Linked DNA regions of Oryzias latipes. The protein of the gene in region 1 binds, or shares a complex with, the protein of each later gene. Links are inferred from orthologs where the notes say so. Each region holds a gene or a part of one and is shown in the gene's direction. Other genes may lie near its edges.

Region 1 (16,296 bases):
CATCTTCTTCGACTGCACTTTTATACTGATGCTTTATTTCACCATGTCCCAACCAACCTCCGACACGATGATTTCCAACCGTTTGCTTTTCTTTTGCTTGTGCTTTCTCTCCACATCTGTTATTCTTTGGTGTTGAGTGGGGAGGTGCACCTCTTGGATGGAATCTAGTTGTGGGAGGATTGGTACAAAGTGGCATGCTTTGTTTTGCTAACTTTGTCTTTACAGGGGTGGAAGCAGTGCTGCAACTGCTATGGATCAGGTTGGGTTCATGGCAAAATGTTGTTTTCCTTCCTTTTTTTCCCATCACATCTCCTTTTCTTTTCAACTCCTTTACCCTATGAAAATACAAAGACCCTCTTAGATAAAAGTAAAGGATGGTTGCTATTACAAAGACAAAGTTTTGCACACTGACCGATCAGCATATCTGAGCGTGTTGAGCGTGTGCTCAGTTGCTGAGTGTCCAGGTGAAATGTTGGCGATCATACACGTCATTGAGTCACCAACAAAGGAGTTTTTCAAAACCTGAAACAAGACTTAAATCATAAATCATGGAGCAAACATCAATATCAATGAAATACATGCATTTTTGACTCATTCTTAAAGTCTGTCACAGTACCTGAGTCAACCTGCTCTGTCGAAAAGGTGTGTGAGAGGCCTTTTTATCAAGAGAACGAATACATTCTTTGAGCTAAAGGGATTAGAAACAACGATTTATAACCTCAGACATCCTATGGAGTTTCTGGCTGAGTGAGAATCTGTCTTTAAAACTTACAGCCAACAGACTCTGGTTGATCTCTGCTCCCTCCATTCGTCTCTGCTTGTCTCGTTCTTTGGCATCTGATGCTCTTTCACTTCCTGCCAGGTCCACAAACCACATTCTGCACACATTCAAGAAAGCAACTTCTTTCAGTTGATATTTTCCCAAAACTATTGACAGCTTTTTGTCAATCTGTTAAAACCTGGTGGAACTTGTTGACAATTTTTACTCAAGTTATTCTGCTGTGCATCGGGTGAAAAAAGTAACAACAAAAAAAGATGTCAAATTCCACTAGTCCCCTAAGAGGAACTGAAGGGACAGCTGAACAATTTGGATCCTGAAGCACACAACAATACATTACAGCTTTTTCTTTGTGGTTCACCTCTGCACTATTTTGTCTTGGCAAATCTGACAGATTTTGTGAAGTTAAAACTTATACAGAAAAGATAAATAAAAATATTTGATGGAATAAAATAACTTTGCTTAAGTAATAAAACATTTTTGATGTATCTCACCTTCCCGCTGTGTGCTGGTTTGGCTCTCTCAGTTGAATCTGAAGTAAAGCATGGGAGCGAGAGGACAGTGAATTTACACCACTCACTCCTTGTGTTCGTTGTGCTGTTCCCTTTGAAACCACCTGGTGAAAGTAATGGCAGGGAAAAGTCCTACACCAGTTTTTTTTATAACTTTCAAATTTTCTGTAAATATCACTTACACAAACCAAACGTTAGATGATTTTTGGTGAATAATCTATATTCACGGAAACTTTCTTGTGCGTTTTATTTGTTTTGTTTTGTTTTCCTAACCCTTTGTTTCCTTTGGTTTCCTCATCCTTGCTTGAAATTCCATTGTATTTTTGTGTTGTATCTATGGCTGGCTGCTAACTAGAGTAAAAAACTGGGCAACAGAGCGTGACATAAAGCAGAGAGAACCAACCTCTAGTAGGGAATTGGCAGAGTCCACTCTGATTTCACGCAGCCCTGAAATATGGACGACTTTCTGTCCATCTTCTCTGGCAAACAACCTCAATGTAACAGAAATTTGTTTAAAGAGAAAAAACTTTTGTTAAATGTAGAATATCACCAAACAGTCTCAGCATATTAAATCTTGTATCACACCTTTTTCTGTGATCCAGCAGGTCATACAGCTGACTACAGTAGATTTCAAAGAAACTAACATACACCAGGAGGGGTGGGTATGAATGTGCAGTGGTCAGGTGAGCAAAGATGTCCTGAACTGCCAGAGTGTATAGACCAGGTGTAACAGCGGATGACCCCAGCATGGTGTAGGTCTTCCCCGCCCCTGTCTGTCCATATGCAAAGCATGTGGCATTTCCTCTGCACACACATAACACAAACGAGAAGCTAACAAAAGAGAGATTTGGACACTAGAGTCTGATAAAAGAATTGGAGAGAAAGGTGGATAATGCACAATTTTAGTGTGAGCAAATCTGTGCTTACCTACCCCCTAAACATGTGCTGCACCAGAGGATAAGCTGTTTTCTGATATACTTCCTTGATGGAGCTTTCCTCCCCAAAAACATGGTCAAAGTAAAACTTTTGCTACAGTTTAAGAGGCAAGATGGAAAAAGAAATCAGTAAAACTGGCACAAAATTAGCATCTAACAAATGAAACAATGCATGTGTGCATGTAGAAAAAACCCCCACAAAAGTGTGAAATTTTTCAAGTACAAGGATCCATCAGCATCCTCTATGTGCACGTCTACCTGTAATATGTAGGGTGTAAGATCCACACTTTCTTTGCTTTCATGTACAATTACACACTGTCCGTCTGTTGCTGTCACAACATCAACTTCTCCTCCTTTGCACTCTGCATGTGACAAAGGTCTTTTCCTCACACAAACAGTAATTTGTTGCCCAACAGTCTGTCTGTCACACAAAGAAAATAAAAGCTTAAAGTCTGCAAGAAGCATTTGTTTTGTGTTATTGAATGAGAACAAAGTAGAAATAAACCAAAAAACAGCAGTAACAACATTTGATGCAACTTACTTTTTGTTTGAAGCAAAGGGAGAACTCCAGGCCTGAATATTGCTGTAGCTGTTTGTTGTCTTTGCTCCATGTACAGGTGGGGGCTTAGTCAAGCTTGAATTCAACATTTTCTCTTTTGTGGAGACTTTTGTACATTTATTTTCAAATGTTTTCTTACACGACTCTGGTGTCACGTGTGCAGGGCTGTGTAATATCTTGCTGTTCTTTGTTGATATGGTATCGCAGTTAAACTTCCGAATTCCTCCTGTTAATTCTGACTTTATGGTGTCATTATTATGATCATTACCCAGAGAACGATTATCCTCCAGTTTGTATTTCTTAGTCCTTCTCCGGACACATTTTCCCAGATGTTTGCCATCAATCTCAAGCTGTACAGGTTTGTTCAATCTGCTTACTTTCATTGAACCATCTTCTACATCATGACTTTGACTGACATAAATAACAGGACTAGATAGTGTAAGACTAGATAGACCAGACAACAGCCTCACGTTGGCTGAGTTTTCATTAGTTAAGATGAGACGTCTGCAAACATTAAAAGGTAACGTATCCGTGATTTCCTGAGAATTTCTACATTTATTTCTCACTTTGTCTTCCGAAGTTTCATGGGAATTTTGACTGAGTTTCCCATTTATTGGTATAAAGTCCTGAGCATCACATCCGTAGTTTGGGTTAATATTTTTGTCAAAGTTGACCAAATGGAAAAGTTGGATCCAATCTTCCATTGAGCGAATTCCTAGGAGAGGATTATCCTCTATTTTCAATGCTCAAAGGTGGTCTGCATGAAAAACACCCAACAAAATGAACCTAAAGGCAGTAAAAGACAAAGAGGAAAACAGTTTTAGATAATGAAAGACCAGTTCCGCTGATGTCCTACATTTACTCACCTAGCATAGTGATGTTCTAGTCCAAAGGTTCTCAAACACCCGTACAACCAAAAGGTCATGTCATCTCATGCCTATTCTCCGGCTGCTCTCTAGAAGAAAAAATACATTTTGGTTTCTTCATTAACTGGTCACATTAGATAAAAACAATGCCCAGCCAGGTGGCATATTCATGGATCAAAATTAATTAAAAAACTACAACCTAGTAGGTATGCTGGAAAAACTAAATATAAGGATTTCTCTCAGAATTACAGCCAATGGTCTCTCACTTTGTCACTGCAACCGGCATGCTCGCTTGGTCCTAGGCAAAGCATGCAGTGGCGTAATGCAGTGGTGGAAATTTGATACTTGTGCAGGACAGTGCCAAAGCAGCACTGTGCAGTCATCACACATTTCTTTACAGTGGCAAATAAGATAAATATAGATAACATGGGTGAGCAACACTTTACTCCTACTGTAGATTACCCATAAGCCTAAATAAAGTTGCCATATGGCAAGACTAAAACCCTCTTCAAGCTGGTTCCACTGAGAGGCTTAAAATATTGTTTACTCTAAAGACAGAGCACATCAATGCCAGCAATAATTCAATAAATATTCATTGATTTGATAAACTTTAATTTCTTGATTTATATTGACAATTTCAGTGCCTCAATAAATTAAATTAAATTAATTTTATTTATGTAGCACCTTTCATGACAACAAAGACAGCTCAAGGTGCTGTACATAAAAACAAAAAAAATGCAATAAAATACAATAAAATACATTAAATTAGCCCTGCACAATAAAATAGACAAAGACAAACACCAGTGGAAATAAAATAAATAAAATAAAGAGAAACCAGAATAAAGAGAAACCACAACCATAACACAGAGATGAATAAACCCTCCTGCTGTTCTGAGTTCACTGATAACATTCAAGCAAAATAACATGAATAACTTTCTTGTAGAAACAATTATAGATGTAAATTATATTAATTAATCTTACTGAATTAAGTTTAATTTTGTATGTTAAGTCACAACAGTTAAAATGCTTAGGAAACTAGTAACAAAAACAATGATTACTTCAATAAAAACTATTACCACTGATGCAGGGTTGAGGTGTCAAAACCTATTAATTATCCTTCAGATTGGTTTGCCTGATTTCCACATCCGTACACAAGTAGGTTTCCATGGCGACGCGAAGAACGCTAATTTCTTTGCTGCCCTCGTTAGTTTTCTCGACCGGAATGTTGCAAACAAAGGCAGAAAATCCAGAGAGACGATGCTCAGATCAACATTGCAGTCAGAGACAGAGATAATCCTTCAAAGAGTCTAAGCCGACAGACCAGGAATGAGCAGACTAAACCAAGTGAAAACAAAGTGGAATTCATAAAATCAGATGGTGTTATTTACTCTTTCTGATTAGAAAGATTGTGGATACGTTATTGATTATATTTATTTTTGATGACATTTTTAAAATAAATTTTAAAACTGGCCAAATGTTTAACCAAATATCTTTTTTGTCTGCTTGTGTGCTTTTTTTTTTTTTTTGCTTGTTTTTCCTTCAAATTTATAACATGAAGTCAAATGAAAAATAAAAATAAATGGGAGAATTAAGGTCCGGAAACAATGGCTTGTGTCAAACCGGTCCGTGTTTCACTGGGGACATCATTGAATGAAACACACAACACCAGCCTTCACCGTAAGATTTTTACTTACCTTTTTTTATTTTATTACTATTATTATTATTATTATTATTATTTTTACAAAGTCTGTTTAAAAAAGATAAGACACCAGTGGCTAAAGTTTGATAAATCGCATGTTAGCCTGGATAAAGTTAAATTTTTAACTCCTTAAATCCCAGCAAAGGCGTTTTGCAAGAAGTACTTATTTGATAACTAGGTAGTAGTACTACCAGGGGGGTATTCCAGAGAGCAGGTTATGCATGTTAGCACGGTAAATTTGAGGCTAAGGAAGTGGATAACCTCAGTTTTCGGTTCTTAAAAAAAAGGTATGTTTTAGGGTATGTCAAGTTGCCATAGCAACTCATGCTCTGAACATAACCTGGTCTGGAGCAGGTTTAGTTGAAGCTTAGTTTGTTTTCAGAGAGGTGAAGCAGCATAGCGTGTCCATTTGAAGATGATTTAGTGGATGAGGAAGCTCAGATAATACTTTTCCACCATGAGAGGGTGATAAGACCATATGATATGGATGTTGTAAACCTTTTTACATTGATCTAACTTAATTATTTGCTTCAGTTAAGATACTTTTTTTTTAGTTAAGTAATAAGTCAGCTGAAAAATAACACATAGTTATTTTACTTTCATTCAAATTAATTCAATTAAGTAAGTTTAACTTTGGTGCTACTGTTAGATCAGCACCGCAAGGAATTGTGGGATACCATTCCCTTTGCCTGTCTGGACGGATTTGGGTTTAAGTGTGGGTTCTTGTCCAAATGTGTTTAGTTGTTTAGCTGTTTTACTGTGTTTTGCCCAGTTATTTGTCCTGTTATGTTTAGTTCTTTCTGCACCATGAGTGAGAGGGAGGAAGAGGATGATGAGTTTATTTAGCACCCGTATTACCTAGAGACATAATGTTAAAGTCTGAGAAATTTTATTGTTATAAAATTAGTATATCTGTAGGCTCAAACTTAGACATATGAGAGTTCAAGAAGTACAATAAATTAAGATGGAAAAACATTTAATTGAATTGGAGTAATATGACATTTAGTTAGATGAATATGTAAATTTGAGTTGTAAAAATAATATTGAGTTGGGTAGACGTAAGAAATTAGGTTGAACTTTTTTTCTCCACGCGTTTCCATGGTGACTCCAGAAATCGGCGATCCATTGAGAATGTTTTTATGTACTTGCCGTGCACGCGCATTAGCCCAAGGTTACAAGGTCGAGCGCAATTACCACAACTCATATCCGGTCTTTTGGAACCAACATACCAAGTTCAGGCGGATTTCAGCCAGAGTTCAGGCTTAAAGTCAGGGTAGTTTAAATATGCTTCCTGGAATACTCCCCAGACCAACACATACTCTGAGACACCCAAATGTCTAAAATTCAATATAAAAAAATCTAAAGAAATTATAGAATTTGAGTTCAAATAGATATTGGTTAATAAATAAAAAGGGATAACTTATGACAAAATTGTGGTTCATTACTTACAGAACTTGCTACCTGATTCGAACACATCTCTCAGATGCATGTATAGTAATATTAGTATTATTATTATTATTACTACTGTTTGTGTGCACAAAATACTGATTAGTGGCCACAAATTATTAATCAGAGAGAATTTTTTTGAATGTCATGCCCAGGGCTCTGTAATTTTTAAAAGAGAAAGAAAGAATAAAAGGACATGAAATTAATGCATGTCCATTTGCACATAATTTATTATTTTGGAAATTATTAGTACACAAAGATATCTGATTGACTCAGCATAGCCGGTTTTATACTGTTCTATCAAACACAGTTGAGTTTTTATCAAAAACTTATTTTCGTGTCACAACTGGAAGAAAAGTGGCAAGTGTTACAAAAGAAATTCCTTAAAAGTGATACTTATGCGGCGTCTGTTCTCTGAAGGGATCAGCATGTCATCTGAGGAGGAGGAGGCTTCCCATCGTCCTTCTTCAGTGTCATCTCTCTCTGACTCGCCGTGTTCATCTCCTCCCAATTTGCACTATGTTGGAAAGAAGGAAGAAATTGTCAAGGCTGGGCGACTGACCAAGCTGTTAAACGGATGTAGAGATGTGCTCATCTTGTACCACGATAGACAGCTTTATGCAATGGACAAGCGGTGTTATCGTAAGTTTTGAGCAGCAGAGCAATACGCTGTGTGGCAAACTATTATTTTGAGGCGTGGCATGCACTTCCTTCTATGATACTGAAAAAAACTACAGTCTCTAATAACTCATGTTATCTCCCACTGACAGACTCTGGTGGTGAATTGCAGCATGGAGACATCGAGGTGAGTTTATAGAAATAAAAGCACAGTAGAAAAGTTCCTAACCATGTCAGACAGCACTTGACACGTTTTTCTTTGTAGAATAAAACTTCTGAATAGTATTTTTTGTTGTTATGTTAACCACAAGCTTCATGTCTTACTGTTATTAGGAGTTTAATGGACGGCTGTGCATAGTGTGCCCATGGCACAGTTACAAGATCACCCTGGCAGAAGGGGAAGGGCTTTACCAGGCAGTGGATGATCCTACCAAAAAGCCACCGAGGACTCACTGGCGTTCCAAAGGCGTCAAACAAAGGATTCATAAAGTCACAGAAATCAATGGGGATGTATTTGTAACACTGAATAAGTCTTGTGAGGCCATTGAATCTGACTTTTATCAGACTGAAAAATACAGGCCTGTTACACTGAAAGGACAACCGGTACCCAAAAAACAATAAAAAAAAATGTTTTCACTGTCTAACTAAAGATACTTTAATTGTTCTTGTGCTAATCAGGTAGCTTTGTTTATTTTTTTTTTTACTTTCCCTTTTTAGAAGTGTCTTTGTAAATGCTTTGTCTGCTGTAAATCCTCTTTTTTTTACTATCACTGATTATTGTAAAGAACCCTAAACATGTCTAGGATAAAAAAGATAGATCCTTATCCATCCATAGTTCCTACGAAGTTTGATTGAGTTTGTGTTTAACGTTATTTTAATATGCAAATCTGTCTGTTCTTTTAACAATATGTTTTTTTATTGTACAAATTTGACTCTTTATTTTTGTACTTACAGCATAACGGTGCCAGTAATCCTGACAGCTGTGTTACATAAAATAATAATCACAGAATATGTTTGTCATTGTTAGTCGTCAAAAACTTGAATTGAAAAATTCACAATAAATGCTTTAAAAAGTCACAAAAATTTCAACTACTACATAACCTCTACCATCTTCAGCATTTATATTAAAAGCAGGAACCAGTTATTGCAAAGTTTTAAGCTTCCAATGTTGTGATCACCAAGGAATGCTAAAAAGATCTGCTGACTTATGGGAAAATGCAATTTTTACAATCTGGCCTGGTTTAGAAAAGTCATATTATCACAAGATTATTTGCGTCAGCGTAATTAAAGTTTCAATGTTCATCTAAAATACATTTTGCTGCTCAAGCAAGCAGATTCATGACTCATTGTGATTCTTTCTTACCTCATGTGTCAGTTTGCTGTTGTCGGGATTCAAACGTGTCAGATTTTTTCTGTACAATTTTATCCTGACATAACCTAGGTTTATAATAAACGTTTTAAATTTTGTTTTTATTAAAAAGACAGCAATCACATCACAGAGCTCTAAAAATGAAACATAATTTCCACTAGGTGGCAGTAGTGAGATTGGCTTTTTGTAAAGTAATAGAAGAAGAAGCTGCGCACTAAGTATGCGCCAACGGTAAGACGGAGGATCTCGTTTTTATTTTAGCACTTTTTTTCATATTAGCAACAAAAAAAAAAAGAGTGTAAAACTTTTTCAGTAAGTGTAAGCTGGTGTATAATTTAATGAATGGAGGAAGGAAAATAGTTAAAGCCCGGAGACCCACTAAGTTCTGATTCTTGAATTCATGACATTTCGTGATGGCATCAGGTATGTCTTGGTTTTCACATTACTTTTGTTTTTTGTTTTTCCTTTTGCTCACTTCCACTCGCGTCGCGTGTTTTGCAGAAGATGAAGTGAACTTGCTGGTCATCGTGGTGGACGTGAATCCGATCTGGTGGGGCCAGCAAGCTCAGCGTGAACCAGAGGTTCCATCACTTCTTTCTCTTTTCCACCCCATAAATAATCTACTACATGAAAAGCATAAAAGTGAAAGTAAAGGACAACACATAAAATATAGATCTAATCCATCAATTAAAAAAAAGAGAAACGCAGAATTTACGAAAACAAAAATTGGAATAATTAAGAATTAAACGTAATTTTGATTGATGCCTTTTTAAATAATAAACAACCACACTAAAGTCAGGATGTGTTTATTCTCGTTGACAACTTTTGAAAAATATTGTTTATAGTTATACATACGTTTGAGTACAGCTGACCACATCCAAATTGATCTTTTCCTTTTTCAAAGGATTAGATCACTTCAATGGTGCTTCAATTTTCATCTTGATTTCTGAAGCACGGTATTTTAAATGTGAAATTTCATTAAACTAACAGTTGATATTTATGTATTCATAATTATAGGGATAAATCTGATGAGCAACCCAGAGATTGAGATTGTAGCATCAGTCTGGAAATGTCACTTTCTAAATAAACTTCAGGTTTATTGTGTACCTAGTATGCAGTGGGGCAAAGAACTATTTAGTCAGCCACCAATCGTGCAAGTTCTCCCACTTAAAAAGATGATGAGAGGCCTGTAATTTTCATCATATTTTCATGTAGTTTTCATCATACCTAAACTATGAGAGTCAAAACGAAAAGAAAAAAAAACAACAACCAGAACATCACAATGTCTAATTTTTAAAGAATTTTCTTTTTGTAAATTATGGTGGATAAGTATTTGGTCACCTACAAACAAGCAGGATTTCTGGTTCTACTGTAAGAGGATCCTCTGTCCTCCACTCGTTACCTGTAGTAATGGCACCTGTTTGAACTCGTTATCTCTATAAAAGACACCTGTCGACAACGTAAAGCAGTCACACTCAAAACTCCACTATGGCCAAGACCAAAGAGCTGTCTAAGGACACCAGAAACCAAATTGTTGACCTGCACAAGCCTGGGAAGACTGAATCTGCAATAGGTAAGCAGCTTGGTGAGAAGAAAACAACTGTGGGAGCCATTATTAGGAAATGGGAGACATACATTACCATGCACTGATAATCTCCCCCCATCTGGGGCTCCCTGCAAGATCTCATCCCGTGTTGTCAAAGTAATCACAAAAACAGTGAGCAGAAATCCCAGAACCACACAGGGGGACCTCGTGAATGACACGGAGAGAGATGCGTTTTTCAGAGTGACAACAGTCTCAAACACACTGCCCGAATAATGAAGGAGTGGCTTCATAAGATGCATTTCAAGTTCCTGCAGTGGCCGTTACAGTCTCCGGATCTCAATCCCATAGAAAATCTTTGGAGGGAGTTGCAAGTCTGTGTCACCCAGCGACAGCCCCAAAACATGACTGCTCTAGAGGAGATCTGCATGAAGGAATGGGCCAAAAATACCAGCAACAGTTTGTGAAAACCTTCTGAAGACTTACAGAAAACGTTTGATGCCTGTCATTGCCAACAAAGGGTAAATAATAAGAATACAATAAGTATTGAGTTGAACTTTCTTTATTAACCACAAACCGGTACTTATTTTCCACCATAATTTATAAATAAATTGTTAAAAAAAAATCAGACAGTGATTTTCTGGATTTTTCTTTTCTCTTATTGTTTCTCGTAGGTGAAGGAGCCGGTTTAGCTCGTGCTGGTTTGCGGCGCCTTCCGTCCGTGAAACCAGGGTTCAAATCCGGGCTGCTCCCTGTTTCCTTCTCTACTTCTGTGCCGGTCCCAAGCCCGGTTGCGTTGAGAAGATTGCGTCAGGAAGGGCATCCGGCGTAAAACATTGCCAAGTTTACCATGCGACTTGTTCGCTGTGGCGATCCCTGATGGGAAAAGCCGAAAGAGGAAGAAGTTTCTCGTAGTTGAGGTTTTCCCTATGAAGAAAATTACAGGCCTCTCATTTTTTTTTGTGGTAGAGCTTGGTGGCTGACTAAATACTTTTTTGCCCCACTGTATGTTTTCATGGTGACTAATAACACCTTAAACTAACTTCACTAAAGAAGAATTTTAAAACCGCTAAGTATGTGGTTTTTATTTATTCTACATCTATTGTTTTGATGCATTATATCCTAATTTATTTCTGTTGAAAGTATAAATTGATAAATGCCACAGATGGCTTTGTTAAAAGCCAGAATGGCCTAACAAAGTTAAAAATCGGACTATTAACTGAAGTAGGGCTAAAGGAAGCCCTCATGACCTTTTTAATGTATTGGATCCACAATATTTGAAATTCGACAATATATATTGGAGAAAAAACTGTTTTCTCTCATTGTCCAGTTCACTCTGTCCAAGTGCCTGGATGGAGTCATGGTGATGGGAAACTCCCACATGGCTTTGACCAGAACAAACAAACTGGCTGTTATTGCCAGCCACTGCCAAGACAGGTAACTTTCTGTTTTTAACATATATTTAGTGCAAGCTAATAGTTTCACTAAAACTGAAATGTTTGTTTTATTGAAATCGTTTTAGTTTCCACAGATAAAGTACCGACTGGTTAATGTTCTGCTGCTTTTATGGCTTCTGTTTGATCTCTGTCCATTCAGTCACTTCCTGTATCCCAGTAAGAGTTTGGGAGGAGGGGGCGGAGCTGCAGAGGACACATCCTCCAGCAGAGACGGGAAGTACGAGCTCCTGGCCGTAGCCAACAGTGCCATTGCTGAAGAGATCCGAAATGTCCTGTCAAAAAGTAAATTACACGCATTCTTCTTTTTAACCCTTGTGTCCATGGATTACATGAAATCTTTCCACCTTTATCCACTTTTGTCATGGTAGGGAGAACACGTCAATGCAAGGTTGGGGTCATCTAAGGGTTAAATGATAAGCAGACAAAGCTTTCTTTGCTGAAAATGTGTTGTTATAGTCAAAATAATAATTAAAAGTGTGGTTTGAGTATTTTATTTAATCAATGCTTGTAATTCTTTATAGCTGAAGTGAGGGGCAATTCCACGGATACTCTGTTGGCCGGATCTCTTGCCAAAGCTCTCTGCTGTATCCTTACAATCTATTCTGTTTGTTGTCGTTCTAAAAAACAAATCCACACCAACAGTTTATTTTATAATACCTCTGTGGTCACATCATATATGGGATGAAGTGTAAAAGGGCTAAAAATACTAACATACTTTTGCTGCTTATTTGAAAAACAGGTGGAAACTTGTGTTTTTTCCCTAAGAATTGCCCAATTTTTGTTTCCCTGATGAAAAGAAGCCGGTTGGATCTTCCTATTTTATAAAGTAACAAATGTTAATGTGAGCTGTTTGATACATTTTCCTTAATGCTAATGAATACAGATATTTACAGGGTCTCAAAAGAACTTGACGGTAATGTTACTCATTTTGGACTAGGTATTGACTTGAACTTGTTGTTTTATTCCCTTACAAAATAAGTTGCGTTTATTTGTGTTTTTAGTTGGACAGGAGATTAAATCAAGAATACTGGTAAGTCCTAAAGTCATTTGTGAGTGTTTCTGACAACGTCAGACCCTGAGCTCATCTCCTGTCTTGGACAGGTGATCAAAGCAGCTGAGGACTGCGCTCTTCAATACATGAACTTCATGAATGTCATTTTTGCTGCACAAAAGCAGGTAACTTGGAGAAATCAGGTTCACGTGTTTTAATCTCCACTCAATATGCACTGTTTTTGTTAAATAAACGTACTGTCAAATACGTCAGTGACAACTTTAATATAAAGACTTTGACGTCACGCTGTAAAACCAGATATGATAGAACTTTTTTTTGTTTTAACTACATGCCACTGTGGGCTTTGATCTGGTGTGAATGGCCTTGTGTGTATGTGTGCGTTTGTGTATAAAGTCATCATAAAGGAATTTTTGTCTTCTTTTTGAAACAGAACATCCTGATAGATGCCTGTGTTTTGGACTCAGACTCAGGGCTTCTTCAGCAGGTACTTTTTTTTTTTTCCGACATGTTCATTTAGAGCTTAGTGTCACCGTTTACAGCACAAAGAGGATTGATCATTTTTGAACGGATTACTGCCAGCTGATGTGGGTTACAACAACATTCAGGAGGACCGAGTTTTGCCTCCTTGTTCTTCAGTTGTACAGCATTTCCGCTACCAGAGCTGAAAAGAGGTTTTTGTTTCGTTTTCTAGGCTTGTGATATAACTGGAGGCCTGTACTTGAAGATACCTCAAAAATTAGCTTTGACTCAGTATCTTTTGGTAAGAGTGAATTTTCGCATTGCTTTGGTGCAGCACATGTGATTTAAGGTCCATACTTTTGTGTTTTATTCCCAGTGGGTGTTCCTCCCAGACTCAGAGCAGCGTTCCCAGCTAGTATTGCCACCCCCTGCGCATGTAGATTACAGAGCAGCGTGCTTCTGCCACCGTAATCTCATCGAAATTGGTTATGTATGCTCTGTTTGTCTTTCAAGTGAGTGATTTACTGCCACACTATGAGGTCTCAGCAACAAATTCCCCGTATACTGACACTTCATTCTCATCTCTTCTTGAAGTATTTTGTAACTTCAGCCCGATCTGCACAACATGCGAGTAAGTGTTTTTCATTTCCAAGCTACCAAATCCGGCTTTTAAATTGTACTGCCAGTAAATGGGACATTTAGCACCAATTGAACTTTGTGCATTTAGACTGTTCAGTCTCGTTTTGTGTTGTTTCAGGACTGCCTTTAAAATCCAACTGCCACAGATGGTCAAACCTAAAAAGAAGAAACTCAAGATGCCTGCATGATTGCCCCTCCAATGTTATTCAGACCACTTCTTTGTCGTCACTTAAAAAAACTTTTGTAGTTTTAGATTTGTTGAAATTTTAAACGGGCTGGAAAATGCAAACATGTCAAGACAGACTTTTCACCTGTCATTCATACCAATGTCACAGACGACTTAGGAACATGCTAAGTTAAATATTTTTCAGCCCATATCTTAGTTGTTACTTGTAAATTGAAAAAACTGTACTTTTTGATTCAATAAATAAAATCTATAATTTTATTTGAATTAAAATTTCGTTTTTCTTGATTGTCTCAAAAGCATTATTGTGTGGAATCTATAGAACACAGGTTGCAATTTTGTCTTTTTTTATTATTTTAGATGACATTTTTAACACTGCAAACACAAAAAAGTTCTTCCCATTACATGAAAAGGGGTGAAAAATCTAATGAAAAAAACAAGCCAAATTCAATCAAACAATTTCAGATTATTGCAAAGCATTTGCATTTTGTTTTAGATATTTTTCCTTATTTTATTTTTTCTTTAATCACTGTATCCTAAAGTCAGTCACTAATTTCAACCAAGATGAAGAATATAGAAAAATCTAAATCTATTTTTGTTATGCAGAAGGGAAAACTAACAGTCCCAACTTTTGCAAATGCAGAAAACTGTCTGCCAAATATTTAATCTCAAGTGTTCTTTATTGTCCCATATTCTGCTCTTGTATACAAAGTCATTGGGAAATCACTCAAAAAGGAAAGTGGGGGAAAAGTTCCAGAATGTAAGTTGTGTAGTTTATCTCTGGACAGGAACAATGTTGCATCTAAAAAATGAAAAGAGAAACATGAACAGGTTTTGACTTTAGGTGTAGCTATTCAAAAAAAATCAAAAACAGCAATAAGAAAGTATGGTAAAGGATTGGTTTACCAGTATTTCATTTCATAAAATGGCTGTTTTTTAGCCCCTTTTAAATTTAGATCAAGCTGGTTCTACAAGAACTGATCCAAACAAGGGCTTGTAACAGTGAAGATGCTTTTTACTTACCCCAGCAGACCTCTGCCGGACCATCGCTGTGGGGTGAGATTCACCTGAACCTTTTGGCCAGCCCTTACAACCGTGACACGCAGAGCTTTCTGCAACAGAAACGCGATGAAGAGATTCCCATTTTAGTTAAATTCTTATGGAATTAACAGAAATTTGTTAAGAAAAATGTTTTAATTTGAAAGCAAAATACATTGTGGCAACAAAACAGACTTATTAGAAGAAAAATAGAAATGTTAATATATTCAATATAAACCTGCAGGACAACATCTAAACTTACCCCTTCACTGTGTTGCACGACAGATGCAATATTCTGGAGGTTCTGAAAGTTCTTGGTGTTTACAGAGCCAAACTCAATGACTTCATCTCCAACTTTGAGGCCCTTTTAAGGGAAAAAAAAGATATCTAAAGTAGTATAAATAGTTTCTTTGAGAATACAAAATAAGCTAAAATTCACTAACCGCTGCAGAGGCAGGTGAACCTTCAGTCACGGTGTCCACTTGTGCAAAAGGAGGAGGCAGGGTGACCTGCTGCTCCATGGGCTCCTCTGTGGCTTCTGCTTGGTCCTGTTCTCGCTTGGCCTTCTCTCGAGCGTGCAGCTTGTGCAGGGCTTCCTCTATCTCTGCCATGATGGCCTTATGGTCGTTTTGCAGACCTGAAAACAAAGAAATAACGTCTGTTGCCATAAAAGTTTAACAAAAAAGGGGGGAAATGAAGAAAAAAAAATACAGCAAAAATAAATAGTTAAACTAAAGAGTCTTTGCTGTTTAAAATTCTTATTGACTATAAGTTTTGAACTTTTGGTTCAAGCTATACAGGATCATGATCTTCGTCGGATTGTTGAATGTTATATTTATTTTCTATACACAACAAGCTCAATAAAATGTGTTTCAAAAATCTTATGCTTACATGATATGTTGTGTCTCGCCGTCCTGATTTGGTATAAATTCACATCCGCTCGTGGGTAACCCTCAGCGTCAACCAGTGGACCCTCAACTCCAACCCCCTGCTATAAAAAACCGATAGAATGATTGATTTTGGAAACTCGAAACCCAAAGAGTTTATGTAACTTTGTGTCCAACTTACGTCCTCTAAGACATCATAGTACGCCTTTATCTGCTCCTCAATTTCTTCTTTTTTTTTAATCATAGCGTTCACATCATCCATCGTTACATTTAACCTTTCAAGAGAGTTTTCTTC
Region 2 (15,478 bases), on another chromosome or scaffold:
GAAGTGCTTTGACCTCATCTGTAATGACTAATCTATACATTTCCAGGAGGGGAGCATGACCCCGTGTCCTCACCGTCACAGTAGGGTTATCTCGGTGCAGGTGCTGTCCTCTTCCCGCCACATGCCACTTTCTTTCTCAGCCGCTCATCAGGTGCGTCTTCAACCTCATTTGTCGGCGCCTTTGAAACTGGAGGAGCTCAGTTTGGAGACGCGCGCGCGCCTGCGTGTGGGAGGGGGGCGCTCGTGGTCGCGGGGCTTTCCGAACGGTTACCCCCATACCTCAGTGCGCGCGTGGTGCCGTTTTTCCAGGTAGACTTCCATCCTGAGGAGTGTTGGGGAGGGCAGACAGAACCAACATGGACCCCGCAGTCTGCGCTGGTGGAGTCCAGCACAGCGCCTCTCATTGGACGAGGACGGAGGAGCCACTTCCTGTAGACGCCCGCCTGCACTTTTATCTGCCGCTGCATTCACGTTCGGCTTGGAAAAACGGATACTTTTGAAATTAACATTCAACTATCAAACCCCGCAAAGGCGCGGAAACAACAACATTCTGATTATTAATCTGAATACAGTAAATGTATTGTCAACTAGACGGGGAAAAAAGTGATGTTTCCTCCAAAACGGAATAATGTTAGGATAGTCCCACAAAGGATTTTGCTTCTTGGCCAAGATCAGGCTAGAAATAGAAACAAAAACAGGACTGTGAAGTAACCCCCCTGGTTAATTGACCGTCTTCTCTATCTGTATACATTTAATCTGTATGTATACAATAAATATCTTCTGAAAATAATCTGTTTTTAAGGACGAGTTAACAGCCGCAAATTTAGTAGTAGTAGCTTCAGTAGTGCAGTTACAATAGTTACTATTTTAAAGCAAAAGGAAATGTGTTCACATAGAACTAAACAAAACAGAGTCAAATTTCCATCTTGGTGTCGTATTTCCAACAGTCCTTTAATGCAGCACAATCTTGTGAGACTTGGTAATAATTTAGCTGACTCATGAGGACTTGTGTGTTTCTGTCAGTCTCTCCTTGTGTCTAACTGTGTCTGAAGATAACCGCCCAGCTCTTCCTGGACCTGCCCGATGCTGCACTGCTGGGTGGAGGGAGGAAGTGTCAGTTGCAGTCGATCCGTACAGGTTTCAACCGGTCCTGACCTGCTGGCTGCTGCCAGCCTGTTACCACTCAGACTGTTCTGCACGGTGACTGATGGAGAAGAGAAAATGACCAAAGTGGGGGATAAACCATCTGAAATTAACCACCAGGATCACGGCAGACTAATAAACAGATTATTCATTTTTTTCTCTCTAGTTTCATCTGCATTGCAGAAACTACATTGTGTGAGTGAGACACAAGAATGTTTACTCACGGCTGGGTGTCATCTTCTTCTATGTTATCCTCCAAAACGTGCTTTCAGGCAAGAACGTATTGAACTAAAAACTCCACATGAAAACGGACCGTCTCATTTGTGCCAAATAGTTAATCTTAGACAGAAACGAATGTAATGGAGATGTTTTGATTCATTATTAAGTGGTTTTTAGCTTTTTTGTGTGGTGCAATGGCATGCTAGTGGTTGAAGAAGAAGAGGTGCATGTGAGGTATGTGGTTTAATGGTTAATCACTGTGGTTTTCCTGTCTGGGTTGGCCTTTAAATGAAAGCTGCTGAAATGGTCCTGGCAACCAGTTTACCGAGTTATCCCATGAGACGCTGTTGTAAATTACCCAGCACAGACCTCTGCTTTCAGCTCGCATCGGCTCTGCGCTGAAGGGCTGCATGTGTGGTCTTGTGGTAGGCTGAAGGAATGCAGTAGCTGCATGAGGTTTGCTTAATTAAAACATCAGGAACTGCAAAAATGTTAATATTTGAGTTTAGGTGGCATGCTGCCTTCAGGAAATGATTCATATTTCTGAAGGAAGATAAGAAAACCTGAAGAAAAAATTGTTTTCCTTAAGTCTGCCTGTTGCACATGCTCGCCATCATGTCATGACTTGTTTCTGAGACAAGCACAGATGCGGCAGGAACTCTTTTGACTTTTTGACTGACTCAGAATTCCTAGAATGCATGTCTTTTGAATCCATCAAAACAAATCGAGTCATAAATGGCTGCTCAGCTCTGCTGATGCCGTGTGTGACAATAGACTGTGACTCGCTGTCGTGTCACTGATCCAAGCTGACATCAGCGGTGAGCCTTTAAATTCAATTGACTGCTAAATGATGGCGGCGAGCAGCTCTGTCCGTTAAAAGGAGAACACAGTCTTCTTCTGAAAACAGTGAGCTTGGGAAACTGGATAGCCAAATAAGTTTCTTTCGGTTATAGCTCCATCTGCTGTTGCACATGGCGGTGTTCAAGTAATGCTGACCTTTTGCTTTAGGCTGCTCTGAAGGAGGAAAACCAGGGGGGTATTCCAGAAAGCAGGTTATGCTAGTTACCACAGTAAGTTTGAGGCTAAGGAAGTGGATAACCTCAGCTTTCGGTTCCAAAAACAGTGGTATGTTTCAGGGTATGCTTAGTTCATAGAAACTCATGCTCTGAACATAACCTGGTCTGGAGCAGGTTTAGTTGAAGGTTAGTTTGTTTTCAGAGAGGTGAAGCAGCATGGCGTGTCCATTTGAAGATGATTTAGTGGATGAAGAAGCTCAGATAATAATTTTTCCACCGTGAGAGGGTGATAAGACCACATATGGATGTACACATCTATTATCAGTGCAACTAAAATGGCAGAAATATCGTACCTATCCATCCGTACAGTTTAGATCCAGATTCCAGCTCAGACCAGGTGTGAACGAAATTGTTTTATTATTATCATTGTTTAAGTGTATTTGGTTAAATGTATGTTTAAATGTTAACTCAGAGCTACCTTTTTACCTTTTTAGAAAACAGTTCTGTGTTTGTTCATCTGTTTCTCATCCCCAGCTAGGATGAGGGGCTTTAACGACACACTGTCCTGAGCTGATAAAGAATACTGTTTGAACTTAGAATCCACCCAAATGGGTCATTATACGACACCCCCTAATGAACTTTTCTATTTGTCTGGAAATTGTTACCTCCTACTTGAATTCTTAATAAAAGGAGCACGGGGAGAAGCAGTCATTTGAGAAGAGAAATGTGGTGGACATTTTCTGCCACATTTGCTTTTCTCCCTCGTGGATGACAAACTTGATTATTGTTGTGGTCTGTTTTTTCTAATTGTGTTTTTCTTTAATGTCTAGATGCATTTATCTGACACCAGGAAAACAAAGATGTTCATGGATCTATTTGTCTGCAGGTGATGATCAGAATGGAGCAGGTAGCTTCTGGTTTGCCGTTGCAAGTTCTACGTCACTGCTACAAGCTTTTTCAAATCCTAACTGTACTCTTTGTTAAGAACACCCAGAAACAATCAGCCACCTATTTTGGAACTGTAATATTACAAAAAAGTTTTGGAAAGAATGTACTTGTTTTATAAATCACAAATTTGACTCACAATTTCAGATGAAATTTGAATGAATCATATTTGGCCTACATAAAAAGAACATAAAATCAAACATAAAATTGAAAATTAATCCAATCATAATATAAAGTAAGTTAGACATCAACAAATCAAAATTTCACAACTTTTCCCCCCTGTATTTATTAAAGAATTAGAATCGTATTTATGTACTATTTCTAATAGCACAAACAAAAAAGGGAATACGTATTTATGAAAATTCTCTGTCTTTGAACATATTCAATGTATTGTGATGTGTTTTACAATATTTCTATTGTAATATATGCCATCCCCTGGCAGTCCCGTTTTTATGACTATTGTTCTTGTCATACATACTTGTTCTATGTGTTGTGAACAGTAATGCATTAAAAAAAACATTTTTTGGGGCAGAAATGCAGTTTTAAGATTAATTTTCTATATATGTCATCATATCATATCATGAGAAAAATGCCATTAGAACATATTAAAAACACCAAAAACGTGATTTCCATTAAAGTGGGTCTTTAACTTGTTTTTATTGGTTAAATGTTTTAGTAATGCTAGCTTAAAAATAAATGAAAGAAGCTTAAGAAAAAAAACAATGTAAAGAGAAAAAAAGACACTGAAGCACACACTCAGGTTTGAACAGTTCCCCAACCCAAATTTAACCATGACTAGTTTACCCCGACCTTAACTAAGCTCATTTACACATCAACCCTTTGGCCCGCGAGGGGCCAAAGCCTGCCCCTCATGGTCGATCAGGTGTCTGAAGGTCTCTGTGGGGTCAACATAAACCTGAAAAGCTGAAACACAACAACACACAACGTGTGTATTCATCATGAACACACGAATGAAGACTAAGAAGATCACCCAACTTCAACTTTCTAGTAGACCTGTCAAATGTGTAAACGGCAACAACATTGCAGGCAATGTAGTCTGATGATTTATTCGCTTTGGGTCTGAAATGTAAAAGAAAGGGACAGGTTTATTTTTTTCACCAAAGGTGACACAATATTTTTGACTTTATTTATTTATTTATTTTTAAACTTATTTGGCCTTCTTGACTTCCCGTAGTTGGTCACGTGATCAGAATAGTCTATAAGTACAAGTGCTGCATCCGTCCGGGAGAAGAGAGCGGAGGAAGATGGCTTCGACAAGTCGGTGAGTTGCAATGGCTGCTAACCGTTCAAAGCCCGGTTTTCTTTGTTAATGTGACTCAAAGTGTCTCGTGGTAAAAAACCACCGCGTCTTGTGATTGACCGTGGGACTCTGGCGGTAGAAAGTGTCGGGCTCCATTTTTCTTCTCGGGAATGTTCAGTCTTTTGTACTCCGTCCGTGACAGCCAGCTAGCTCGCGGGCAGCTTCACGGAAGAGGCTGCCCGTTAGAACTCCCGGTTTTGTCGTTTCTCTGACATCTGAACGTTGGCCTGAAGGAGTTCTGGATCAGCCTGAAACTCCGTGGAAACGCGCACGTCCGCACATTTACCGGGACTTAAACTCGTTAATATTTCTTTATGCTAGGAAAGTTGAAGCGATCGTGAAATGGGTATTTCCCATAATTCAACGCGTTTTGTTTTGGTGGGTAGATGACACAAGCAACTACAGAACCAGGCGACTGATAAATACTGGAAACATAGGCTGTTTGTAGACTTAATAAATATTTGTTAATCCTATCAAGGTGTCTGGCTTCTTCCTTGGAGAATGTAGCGGAACATCGACTTTAAGGGATTTTCTTTGTTCGTCATTTATTTGTTGTTTTTGTGCTCCTTTTTAACATTTTTGTTATCATTTGTGTTTTGCTTGTGCAGCGGAGATGCTCTCAGTTTACCCAGAGTGACATGTCCCAACCATCCTGATGCCATCCTGGTGGAGGACTACCGCGCTGGGGACATGATTTGCCCCGAGTGTGGGCTTGTTGTAGGTGAGTACTTCAATGATAAACCTGTACTTGGCCTACATTTGTTGGAGGTAAAATGGGTCCATAGCTGGAGAGGTTTGTCTTGATGCTGAAGCTGTAAAGAGTTCTGTGTGACCTGGCCTCCACAGTCAGACCTTCACATGCGCTTTGAACAAACCTAAAAGCTTTTTTTTCCCTGCTACCGTAATTTCCGGATTATAAACCGCCACTTTTGTCACACGCTTTCAACCCTGCGGTTTATTCAATGATGCGGCTGATTTATGCATTTTTTCTAACGGCTGCTAGGGGCGCTCGAGCAGAAAAGGAAAGAGTGAGACGGGGGATAAGGTATATGTGTCGAGGAAGACACAAGTTTAATGTAAATTCCCGCTTTCTGAATGAATAGCACGAACAGACCCTCATCATGGAAAATGCAAGAAGAAATGCATATGAGGCAGCTTTCAAGTTAAAAGCAATGGTTAACAGCAGTGTGAAAAAATCCACCATCACCAACGGGTTTGGAAAAGCCGGTCTGCTGCGTGACAGAGAGGACAGTGCAGACTCAGGAGAGAATTTACCTCAGGATGAGAGTGACACTGACAGCGACAACGAAGGAGAGACACAGAGCGTGTGTGGTGAAGAATATCTGACGCTTTTCCAATCCGACACTGAGGAGGAAGACTTCCATGGTTTCAGTGCACAGGAAGTTCGTGCTGCGCAGAGGCGAGCGCCAATAAGTTACTGCTGCTCTCAGTGACTTCTACCACGATGTTTTTTTTAACCAGCCCTGTTAGTGCTGTTACTACCGTATTGCTGCCGTGTTACTGCCGTGTCACAGGCACTGTTTGGAATAGAGCTGTGACGGTGTGGGATTTTTGATCACCGCGGTGATGAAGAAGCAGGAGAAGTCACGGTGTCGCGGTTTCCAAATAAATACCGGTATAAGTAATAATTACAACGCATTATTCTTTAACAAATAACAGTAACAACTAAATCTACCTAATGAACTAACTACATAGGTGTTGTAGAATGAGTATGTGTTTGTGTCAGCACACTGGGTGTGTAGGGGGAAGGAGCGTGAGTGAATGAGAATGCTCCCTCTTCCTATCCCGCTGCACGAGCTCCCCCCTCTTTCTCACACACGCCGGCGAGCGGTTTCAGCACGTACACATCCATTCTACAACACATGGTTCAATGTGGGCACATGCGGGCGGCTTAGACAGGTGCGGCTTATGTATGTACAAAATGGTTTATCCTTTAAAAATGTAATGGGTGTGGCTTATAATCAGGTGCGCTCTATAGTCCGGAAATTATGGTAATTATGTCACCTGTAAAGGAAGTCCATTTTATTCTCATCACGGATCTATTTTCAGCCATTTTTCCTCCAAAGAAAGATCAAAGCTCCAGGACTTTGATCTGGAACGACCACAGTTTTCATTTTCTTTATCTGATTGTCTTATTTTAATGTTGATGATGAATCTGCATCATTTACACACAACAGTACAAAGCAGTACGTCTGCAGTGTGTGCACAGATCAGTGTAGCACAATTTATCCCTCAGAAACGTCAAAGAAGAACCAAAAGCACATCAACAAATATCCACCAGAACCGTCAAAGTACGGTTTAAACAGAAAAACGAGATTGTTGCTCAAATCAATTACAAGTAATTCAGCGTGTAATCAAAGTTTCCACTCAGCCTTTCTAACATCACGGTTCTGGTTCTTCACGCCTTCTGTCCTTAGGTGACCGGGTCATTGATGTGGGTTCAGAGTGGAGAACCTTCTCCAACGAGAAAGCTCAGAAAGATCCATCCAGAGTGGGAGACGCCCAGAACCCTCTGCTCAACGGAGGAGATCTAACTACCATGATCGGCAAGGTGGGACAGCAGACCTGTGGTTAGCTGTAGATAGGGGTCCAACAGATCACGGATGATTCCTACGGATCTCTAGCCACGGTTCAGCACACATGTCTACTGCAGATAACCCCCCCACCTCCTCGTGTGCACCTCGCACGACTTTTGTGATCCATTGCACCCCTAGTGGTAGAGTGACAGCTGTGGTTCAGGTGATGGATGGAGGGGTGGATGGTTGGATGGATGGATAGATGGATGGATGGAGGGGTGGATGGATGGATAGATGGATGGAGGGATGGATGGATGGAGGGGTGGATGGATGGATAGATGGATGGATGGTTGGATGGTTGGATGGATGGATGGATGGATGGATGGATGGATGTAGGGGTGGATGGATGGATAGATGGATGGATGGTTGGATGGATGGATGGATGGATGGATGGATGGTTGGATGGATGGATGGAGGGGTGGATGGATGGATAGATGGATGGATGGATGGATGGATGGAGGGGTGGATGGATGGATAGATGGATGGATGGTTGGATGGATGGATGGATGGATGGATAGATGGATGGATGGATAGATGGATGGATGGATGGATGGATGGAGGGGTGGATGGTTGGATGATGTAGGGATGGATGGATGGATGGATGGATGGATGGATAGATGGATGGATGGTTGGATGATGGATGGATGGATGGATGGATGGAGGGGTGGATGGTTGGATGATGTAGGGATGGATGGATGGATGGATGGATGGATGGATAGATGGATGGATGGTTGGATGATGGATGGATGGATGGATGGATGGAGGGGTGGGTGGATGGATGGATAGATGGATGGATGGATGGAGGGAGGGATGGATGGATGGATGGTTGGATGATGTAGGGATGGATGGATGGATGGGTGGATGGTTGGATGATGTAGGGATGGATGGAGGGAGGGAGGGAGGGTTGGATGGCACGTATCCCCTCTTGTGGGTGAATGTCTTTCATCTGTGCGTTCACCATGAAGTTGATGGTTTTCTGCTTTTCATGTTGCTGCTGGTTTTCATGTTGCAGTAAAGTTACTTTCTTGTGAAACACGGCTCATCCACATGTGGGTTCTGGGTTCTTCTCTCCAGGGAACCGGGTCTGCAAGCTTTGATGAATTTGGGAACTCCAAGTATCAGAACCGGCGGACCATGAGCAGCTCGGACCGGGCCATGCTCCACGCCTTCAAAGAGATCAGCACCATGGCCGACCGCATCAACCTGCCCCGGAACATCGTAGTGAGTGGAACATCTGAGCACATCAGCTGACCGTTTAAGTCCCGCCCTCTGAGCGCGGTCGTACTTCGGTTCCTGTCCCTCCTCTTTGCTGCTGACGCCGTGTTAGATTTCATATTCCTTCATGTCTAAAAACCGCATGAAGCCTAAGAGCAGGTCAACGATAAAGGTTTTCATGTAAGCTGAACACCATTGAGGTTCAGGTCCTAGGAAGAAGGAGGCCTCTTCAGAGGCCTGAAACATTCTGCATGGGTCCTGACTGCTCATGCCTCCATGACACTTCCAGTCTGAGCTTCACAAACGTCTTTGCTCTGCAGGACAGAACCAACAACTTATTCAAGCAAGTTTATGAGCAGAAGAGCCTGAAGGGCCGAGCCAACGACGCCATCGCATCCGCCTGCCTTTACATCGCCTGCAGACAGGAAGGAGTCCCCAGAACCTTCAAAGGTCAGCCAGTTTATAATAATAATAATCCGATACCGACAACAGATATTCCCCCTGCAGCTGATGGGTGATGTCTGCAGATACTCAAGTGTCTACAACAACGCAGAGGTTGCTGGACAATCACTTTGACTTTTTTAACATACAGCACAGAATCTCATAGGAACATGGTTCACTTTAAAACCGTCATGTAAATATATTTGACAGCATTCAGAGCATTTATTGAATATTGGACATAACTGTAACCATAAACTCCCCCTCAACTAGGTCTATCTATTAAGAACACATATCTCTATCAAAAAGAACATTTGCCTGAAAACAGTCAGAAAAATATCGGTAGATTTTTTAATATCAGACCGATACCGTTGAACTGCAAATGTTGGCCATCCCTAGATTTCTTCAACACGTCCAAGCTAACGGCAGCGTTTCTCTGCAGAGATCTGTGCCGTCTCCAGAATCTCCAAGAAAGAGATTGGTCGGTGCTTCAAGCTGATCCTGAAGGCTCTGGAGACCAGCGTGGACCTCATCACCACGGGGGACTTCATGTCCCGGTTCTGCTCCAACCTGGGCCTGCCCAAGCAGGTTCAAATGGCGGCCACCTTTATTGCGAGGAAGGCCGTGGAGCTGGACTTGGTTCCGGGTCGAAGCCCCATCTCCGTGGCGGCAGCAGCCATCTACATGGCGTCTCAGGCGTCTGCAGAGAAGAAGACTCAGAAAGGTGAGACCACACGACAGAAATGACCCAAATGTCAATGTTACCAATGTTAGAGACCGGTGAGAAGGTCCGTCTGCACCTAAACGCAACATGAGGCTGGGGACCGTTTGGGTCCATCCTCTCCTGTTGGAGCAGATGTTCTGGATAGTTTACAGACCGGGTTCTTGTGTTCTACAGAAATTGGAGACATTGCTGGAGTGGCGGACGTCACCATCAGGCAGTCCTACAGGCTCATCTACCCCCGCGCTGCTGAACTTTTCCCTCCCGACTTCAAGTTTGACACCCCCGTCGACAAGCTTCCCCAGCTGTGAGGAAGACCAACCTCCAACCTCTTCCTCCGTCTCTGGTTCTGCTTTTGAATTTGTGAAGGTGGGAGGATTTTTCAGCCAGGAAGGATCCCTCGACAGAATAAAGTGGACACACATTCCAGACTGTTGTTTAGTATTTCAGTTGTGTGTACAGACTGTACCATGTGTAAATGTCCCGGAGGGGGGGGGCCATGCTCGCAGTTTTAGGCTGGTGTCAGACTCGACCCCTAAGACTGTTTTTGTAGAAAAGAAGCAGCTTCTATTTTGTTTGAATTAGTAATTTAAGATGACGATTTTCATGAATCATCTCGTGGTTTGAATAACAATAAACGGTTCTTTATAAAAAATAAAAAAATCTTCATCTTGTAAAGTTCTGCAAATATTCTGCTGAAATGTTTCTGAAGGACGGTAAAATGTTGACAAATTTGTGAGCAACTTTGTCTTCAGCATTACGTTTCTCACTGATGGATTCTTTACCCCAAAGACGTAACTCACACTTTCAGATTCCTGTGTATAACCAGAGGTTCAAAATGTAAAATCTTTTGATAAAACTGGAATTCTTACATTTTGTGTAAATTTTAAGAAGTTTCTGCTTACGTTTTATTGAAAAATATCAAAAGCTTTTGCCAAAGATATTTCCTACCTTCAGTTATTTGGAGCCTCATTCCACCAAACCCTCTGGGAAGGCCTGAGCCGTTCAGAGCGGTGGACTCCTTATGCACGCCTGAAGACCTCTGGAGTCTCTTCCAGACCCCTGGAGTCTCCTGTGGACCCCTGGAGCCTCCTGTGGACCCCTGGAGTCTCCTGTGGACCCCTGGAGTCTCCTGTGGACCCCTAGAAACTCCTGTGGACCCCTGGAGTCTCTTCCGGACCCCCTGGAGTCTCCTGCATCTCTGTTGATCTCATCTGAAATTTCTTATTTCTGCAAAAATCCATCAGATTTTTTAAATTTAACCAATTCCTTCTGTTCCACAATAAGATTTAGGTTTTCATGACATGGATCAACATTTCAAATGTTGCACATAAACATGGACCTGTTCTTTCTCCTTGAACCTGTGACTTCTGGTGGAATTTCCTCAAAAGCATTCAGTGGTTTAGCAGACAAAACAGTCGATGTTTGACTCTACGGGTACCATGGTTTTATGTTGATCGTTCTGATCCTCTGACCTAAAGTGGATCCAGATCATCTTCATCCAAACTTCCAGCAGTGAGACTCAGACAGAAATTCCTGCTACTGAACAGTGAAGTTTTCCAGATTATTGGATTTCTTCCAGATCATCAAGTGGAAATGAAATCTGTGTCCAAACAAACAAACAAATCAACTAGAATGAATGTTAAATCCATTCAAATTTTAGTTTCCTAAAGTTCAGTCCACTGTTGTTTTTCCACATCCAGAGAATCCAAAGGGAACATTCTAGACACTGGATGGTCACATGACTTTATTCAAAGTCTTTCCACACATTGGACTGGAATGATGGACTGATCCGTGTTAATGACATCACATGAGTGTTGTCTGCTGTGATTGGTCGTTTTTTATCTTAGAATAACATAAACCTACCCCACCTCAATCTAGATGGTATCTTCCATTACAGATGATCAATTTCTCAGTTTGAAAGGATTTCCTAATGGAATAAGTCAACCTGATTATCGATTTGCCTCAGACAGATGGATCTGATTGGGTCGTAGGCACAAAAATGGATTAATCATACACCCCTTAACCCTTGTGCTATCTTAGATGACCCCAGCCTTGCATTGACGTGTTCTCCCTACCATGACAAAGGTGGATAAAGGTGGAAAGATTTCATTTAATCCATGGACACCAGTGAGGATCACAAATCATTGAAGAAAAAAGGTTCAGAGCACTGTCTAGTGGGTCTAGATGACCCAACTCCCAATGTTAAAGTGCCCAGGATAGCACAAGGGTTACATAAAATCGGTTTGCATCATGATTTGAAACAGAAGGTTTGAGAGTTTTAGTGCAGAGCAGCAGGAGGTGATGCCGATGTTTCAGACCTCAGGAGTTTACAGATCATGGCTGAAAGCAGAGCCACTATTCCAAAGGTTTAATTTGTGCATTCATGATAGGTAACAAACAGTGAGAGGAGACGAACGGCAGCAGGTGGGACTGATGGGTGTACCGTTCAGACAGAAAACAACTGTACAATCTATTCTCATGAAGGAACTGCTAAACTTTAACTACAGATAAAATTAGTGCTTTCAGCTCAACTGTGTACATACAGTATGTATATAACATATCCCCCCCCCCTCCCCGAAGTGATTCATGTCAACAGGTCAGAGTCACGTTGAAAGACTGCTGTTCTCAACAACGCCACGTTAAAACGGTCTCCATGGAAACACGGCAGCGGTCTGCACTGGCTTCATGGAGCCGCTTCCCCTTGAGCTCATTTTGGTTTTGGCAGCTGGACCGGGTCCAGTCCCGCCCGCTAACTGTGTCGAGGTAATGAAAACACGCGGAGCCACTAGAGGGCGCCAAAGGCATTTGAACTGAAAAGTTTCTGCTTTCTGCAGGAAGTCGTGGGATGCAGAGCCGGCTGGCCTGATGGGTTAACCGACCTGAACTCCAACAACCAGGAGGGAAGTGTGGCGTTCAGGCTCGCTTGGTTTTCAAGTCAAGAAGAAGAAGTAGTAGTCAAGGTTGCTGTAAGTGACTGATGGGAGACTTCTGTTCAACCCAGATGAGGCCAAGTCGTCTGCAGAGCAACAGTCGGCACAGGACAACCGGTACGAACACGGCTACAGACGTGGTTGTGGTGGAAGCGTCTCCTCAGCGTTCCAGGGTAAAAACATTCTCAGTGGTCAGACAGCGGACGCCGCCGCCGCCGTCAGTCTGTCACTGTCATTCATTTGTTCTTTAAAAGAGAAAACAGCTCTTCGTGTGGGTTAAAACGCCCGCTGTCCTCTGCAGGCCTCTCCTGGACTCCTGTAATGGCACACGGTTCCTTTCTCCATGTCGGCAGGAAAGAGGAGGCGCTCCGGAAGAAGGCTGCGCTCTTCACAGTACGTTGGGGTGAAATCAGCACCAGTCAGCAATGTAGTCGAAGTCCGAAAACAGGCCCTGCTCCTCCGAGTTCAGCATCCGGGGCTCCCTGGGGGGGGTCAGGATGGGAGCTTCTGAGGTGAACTCTTCATCAAAGTTGCTGACGTCGTTGGCGTCCTGGATGGTCGGCACGAACGGCGGCTTCACCTTCTTGGCCAACAGCCCGCCCCAGTCCATGTTCTGTACGGGGAGCAGGGGAAGTTCAGCTTTCTGTTTCAGTTTGAGGATCAATCAGATTAAAACCAAGACGGACTAGACTCAAGCTCACCCTGAAGAAGGGATGTTTCTTCACCTCCTCTGCATCCTTCTCTCCTGCTCCCAGACGCCGTTCTGGACTCCTCCTCAGAAGCTGAGAGTTCAAAAGGTTAAACTTAAAGGGCCGATATCATACAACAATCAACTTTTTAAGTTTTGAAGTGTTTTAGAATGTTAATTCCTCACTATAATCAACTCCAAAGTGGTATTTTGATCTGAGTATTTCCCTAAAAAAGCCCCGCCCAATCCATGCAAAGGAGCAGGTTCTCATATTGTGACATCACTAATTGAGATCCACCCCTTCCAGGAAAAGTCTGGGCTTCCAGCCCCGCCTCCAGGCTAACGCACACGCCCACTTTCTCAGAGGAGCTAGCGGTGATCGGCTAAACGCTTTTTTTATGTATAAACAATATGAACATCCATCTTTGGAAAAGTTTTTTTTCGTGGGAGAAACACAGACACACTGTTGATGATGTCATAAAATGGGCGGCACACACAAAGAGAGAGAGGCGGAGCCTCAGGGATCGAGTCGTATTACTTCCTGGTAGGAAAATTAACTCAGGAATAAAACATTATTAAAAATGGTTCTTTAGTGTTCCAAAGGTCATATATGAAAATCTTTATGGATATAGTTTAACCCGGGACGATGAAGAACCATTTTAGTCCCAGATTCTCCCACTGAATGCTCTGATCCACGATGCAGATTCTGGAACTGTGTCCTTTCTTTGAACATTACAGACCAAACCTGCACAATCGGCCTCCCTGTCTGAATGCCACACACGCGTTGCTCCTCTAAAAACACACGTGTTGTTTGATCCTCAGCCAGCTTTTAACACACTTTGTAGTAATTCCTCTGTTTTTCTAGCAGAGGTGGTAACTTCTGCACCCTGACTGGGAGGTTGCAGGTTTGAATCCAATGCCTTCCTGCTTGACTCCCAGCATGGAAGGTTGGGTTGAGTTCAGATTTAGCGCGTTTGTCTGTTTTGCGTTCGTAAGCAAGTATTTCTGGTGCGTGACGGTGGACTGAGCGCGTGCAGCACACGCTCAGCCGTGACCCCCCTCCTCCCTCATGCTGACCGCGTACCCTCCTCATGATGGAGATGGCCTCTGTGGACAGAAACCGTGGGTAGCGCACTTCATCGTTGACGATGCTGTCAAACACCTCCTCCTCATCATCACCAGGGAAGGGAGACTGAAAGCAAATGAGGGATTGGTGATGAAGAGTTGACTCTTTGAGCGGCCTGAGGACACACGGCTCACCTCTCCAACCAGCATTTCAAAGATCAGGACGCCGAGCCCCCACCAGTCCACGGCGCGCGTGTACGACGTCTCTGTCAACACCTCGGGGGCCAGAAACTCAGGGGTCCCACAGAAGGTGCTGGTCCGGTCCCTGTAGCCCATTCCTAGAGGAAGCAGAGACGTTCAGAAAAGAAGGACCGACGCGTCAGAACGCTCTGGGTCCGAACAGGAAGTAGGGTTCTGATCCACAGGGAAACTCTGCCCCCCCCCCCAAAGGCTCACTCGGACATGAAGCATGAATGGAAAAACCCAAATCGCCAGGAATGTGGACCGCGCCTCCCGACCAGGAGCCGCTGGAACTGCAGGACTTTCACCTGGGACAGGTCACACCTCTGCGGGGTCCATCCATGTCTGATCATTGAACACCTGGTCGGCCGCTGCCCCTTCAGTTTGCGTGTGTCAGGTAGCAAAGTGAAAACTCTTCAGCCAATCAGTGAGCGGCACTCAGCTGATGCTCTGATACAGCCGGGATTTCATTTATGGGACGGCTGGGGTGCAGCGGTCCACCTCTGATCGTAACATCACAGGTTTGGTTCCCGCTCTGCACGCCCATGTGTTGAAGTGTCCTTGAGCAAGACACTGACTCCCACATTGCTCCTGGTGGTTTCAGGTTGGCGTCCGAATTCGGCAGCGGAGCCTAGCGGTGTGTTTATGTGGCTGTAAAGCGTTTACGACCTTTAAGGAAGGTTAAAGAAATACACGCCATTCGATATTTTTAGAGCATTTTTCAGTCTGATTGAACCGCCAGCCGCCGCTCCACCTGATGCGAGGCGGTGCCCGCAGAACGTGGCGCCTTCTGCTGCCACGCTCTGCTAGCACTTAGCAGCTAGAACGCTAACGGCTGCTTCAACTGCTGTGATGGACGACTGGTTGCTCTTCAGTCTGAGCTCCAAACGCAAACAGTTCACAGAGAAAGAACATGTTTAAAATAACACTTCATCTC

The links.
Region 2: gtf2h3 (region 1) and gtf2b share a complex: the UniProt entries of both Homo sapiens proteins name them as parts of the TFIID-containing RNA polymerase II pre-initiation complex. The link is inferred for Oryzias latipes from reciprocal best matches to the Homo sapiens genes GTF2H3 and GTF2B.

Annotation. Positions count from the first base shown.
Region 1 is NC_019867.2:12,035,078-12,051,373, forward strand, and holds gtf2h3 (general transcription factor IIH subunit 3), read left to right. Parts: upstream 1-8,970; 5' UTR 8,971-9,195; coding exon 9,196-9,204; coding exon of another isoform or gene 9,205-9,205; intron 9,206-9,279; coding exon 9,280-9,363; intron 9,364-11,655; coding exon 11,656-11,762; intron 11,763-11,921; coding exon 11,922-12,064; intron 12,065-12,303; coding exon 12,304-12,366; intron 12,367-12,665; coding exon 12,666-12,695; intron 12,696-12,783; coding exon 12,784-12,812; intron 12,813-12,883; coding exon 12,884-12,958; intron 12,959-13,224; coding exon 13,225-13,278; intron 13,279-13,485; coding exon 13,486-13,554; intron 13,555-13,629; coding exon 13,630-13,765; intron 13,766-13,847; coding exon 13,848-13,884; intron 13,885-14,010; coding exon 14,011-14,080; 3' UTR 14,081-14,349; downstream 14,350-16,296. Other genes in the region: uncharacterized protein LOC105354722, read right to left, coding at 1-335, 413-522, 617-688, 773-878, 1,273-1,394, 1,694-1,781, 1,876-2,094, 2,222-2,319 and 2 more; Rieske domain-containing protein, read left to right, coding at 5,255-5,327, 7,216-7,437, 7,566-7,600, 7,747-8,034; psmd9 (26S proteasome non-ATPase regulatory subunit 9), read right to left, coding at 14,851-14,878, 15,100-15,188, 15,377-15,478, 15,558-15,751, 16,006-16,105, 16,183-16,296. UniProt on the Homo sapiens protein: Component of the general transcription and DNA repair factor IIH (TFIIH) core complex, which is involved in general and transcription-coupled nucleotide excision repair (NER) of damaged DNA and, when complexed to CAK, in RNA transcription by RNA polymerase II.
Region 2 is NC_019875.2:5,817,793-5,833,270, reverse strand, and holds gtf2b (transcription initiation factor IIB), read left to right. Parts: upstream 1-4,509; 5' UTR 4,510-4,588; coding exon 4,589-4,605; intron 4,606-5,252; coding exon 5,253-5,365; intron 5,366-7,082; coding exon 7,083-7,216; intron 7,217-8,315; coding exon 8,316-8,462; intron 8,463-8,776; coding exon 8,777-8,906; intron 8,907-9,336; coding exon 9,337-9,618; intron 9,619-9,792; coding exon 9,793-9,926; 3' UTR 9,927-10,486; downstream 10,487-15,478. Other genes in the region: pkn2 (serine/threonine-protein kinase N2), read right to left, coding at 12,958-13,161, 13,250-13,330, 14,321-14,428, 14,497-14,639. UniProt on the Homo sapiens protein: General transcription factor that plays a role in transcription initiation by RNA polymerase II (Pol II). Involved in the pre-initiation complex (PIC) formation and Pol II recruitment at promoter DNA.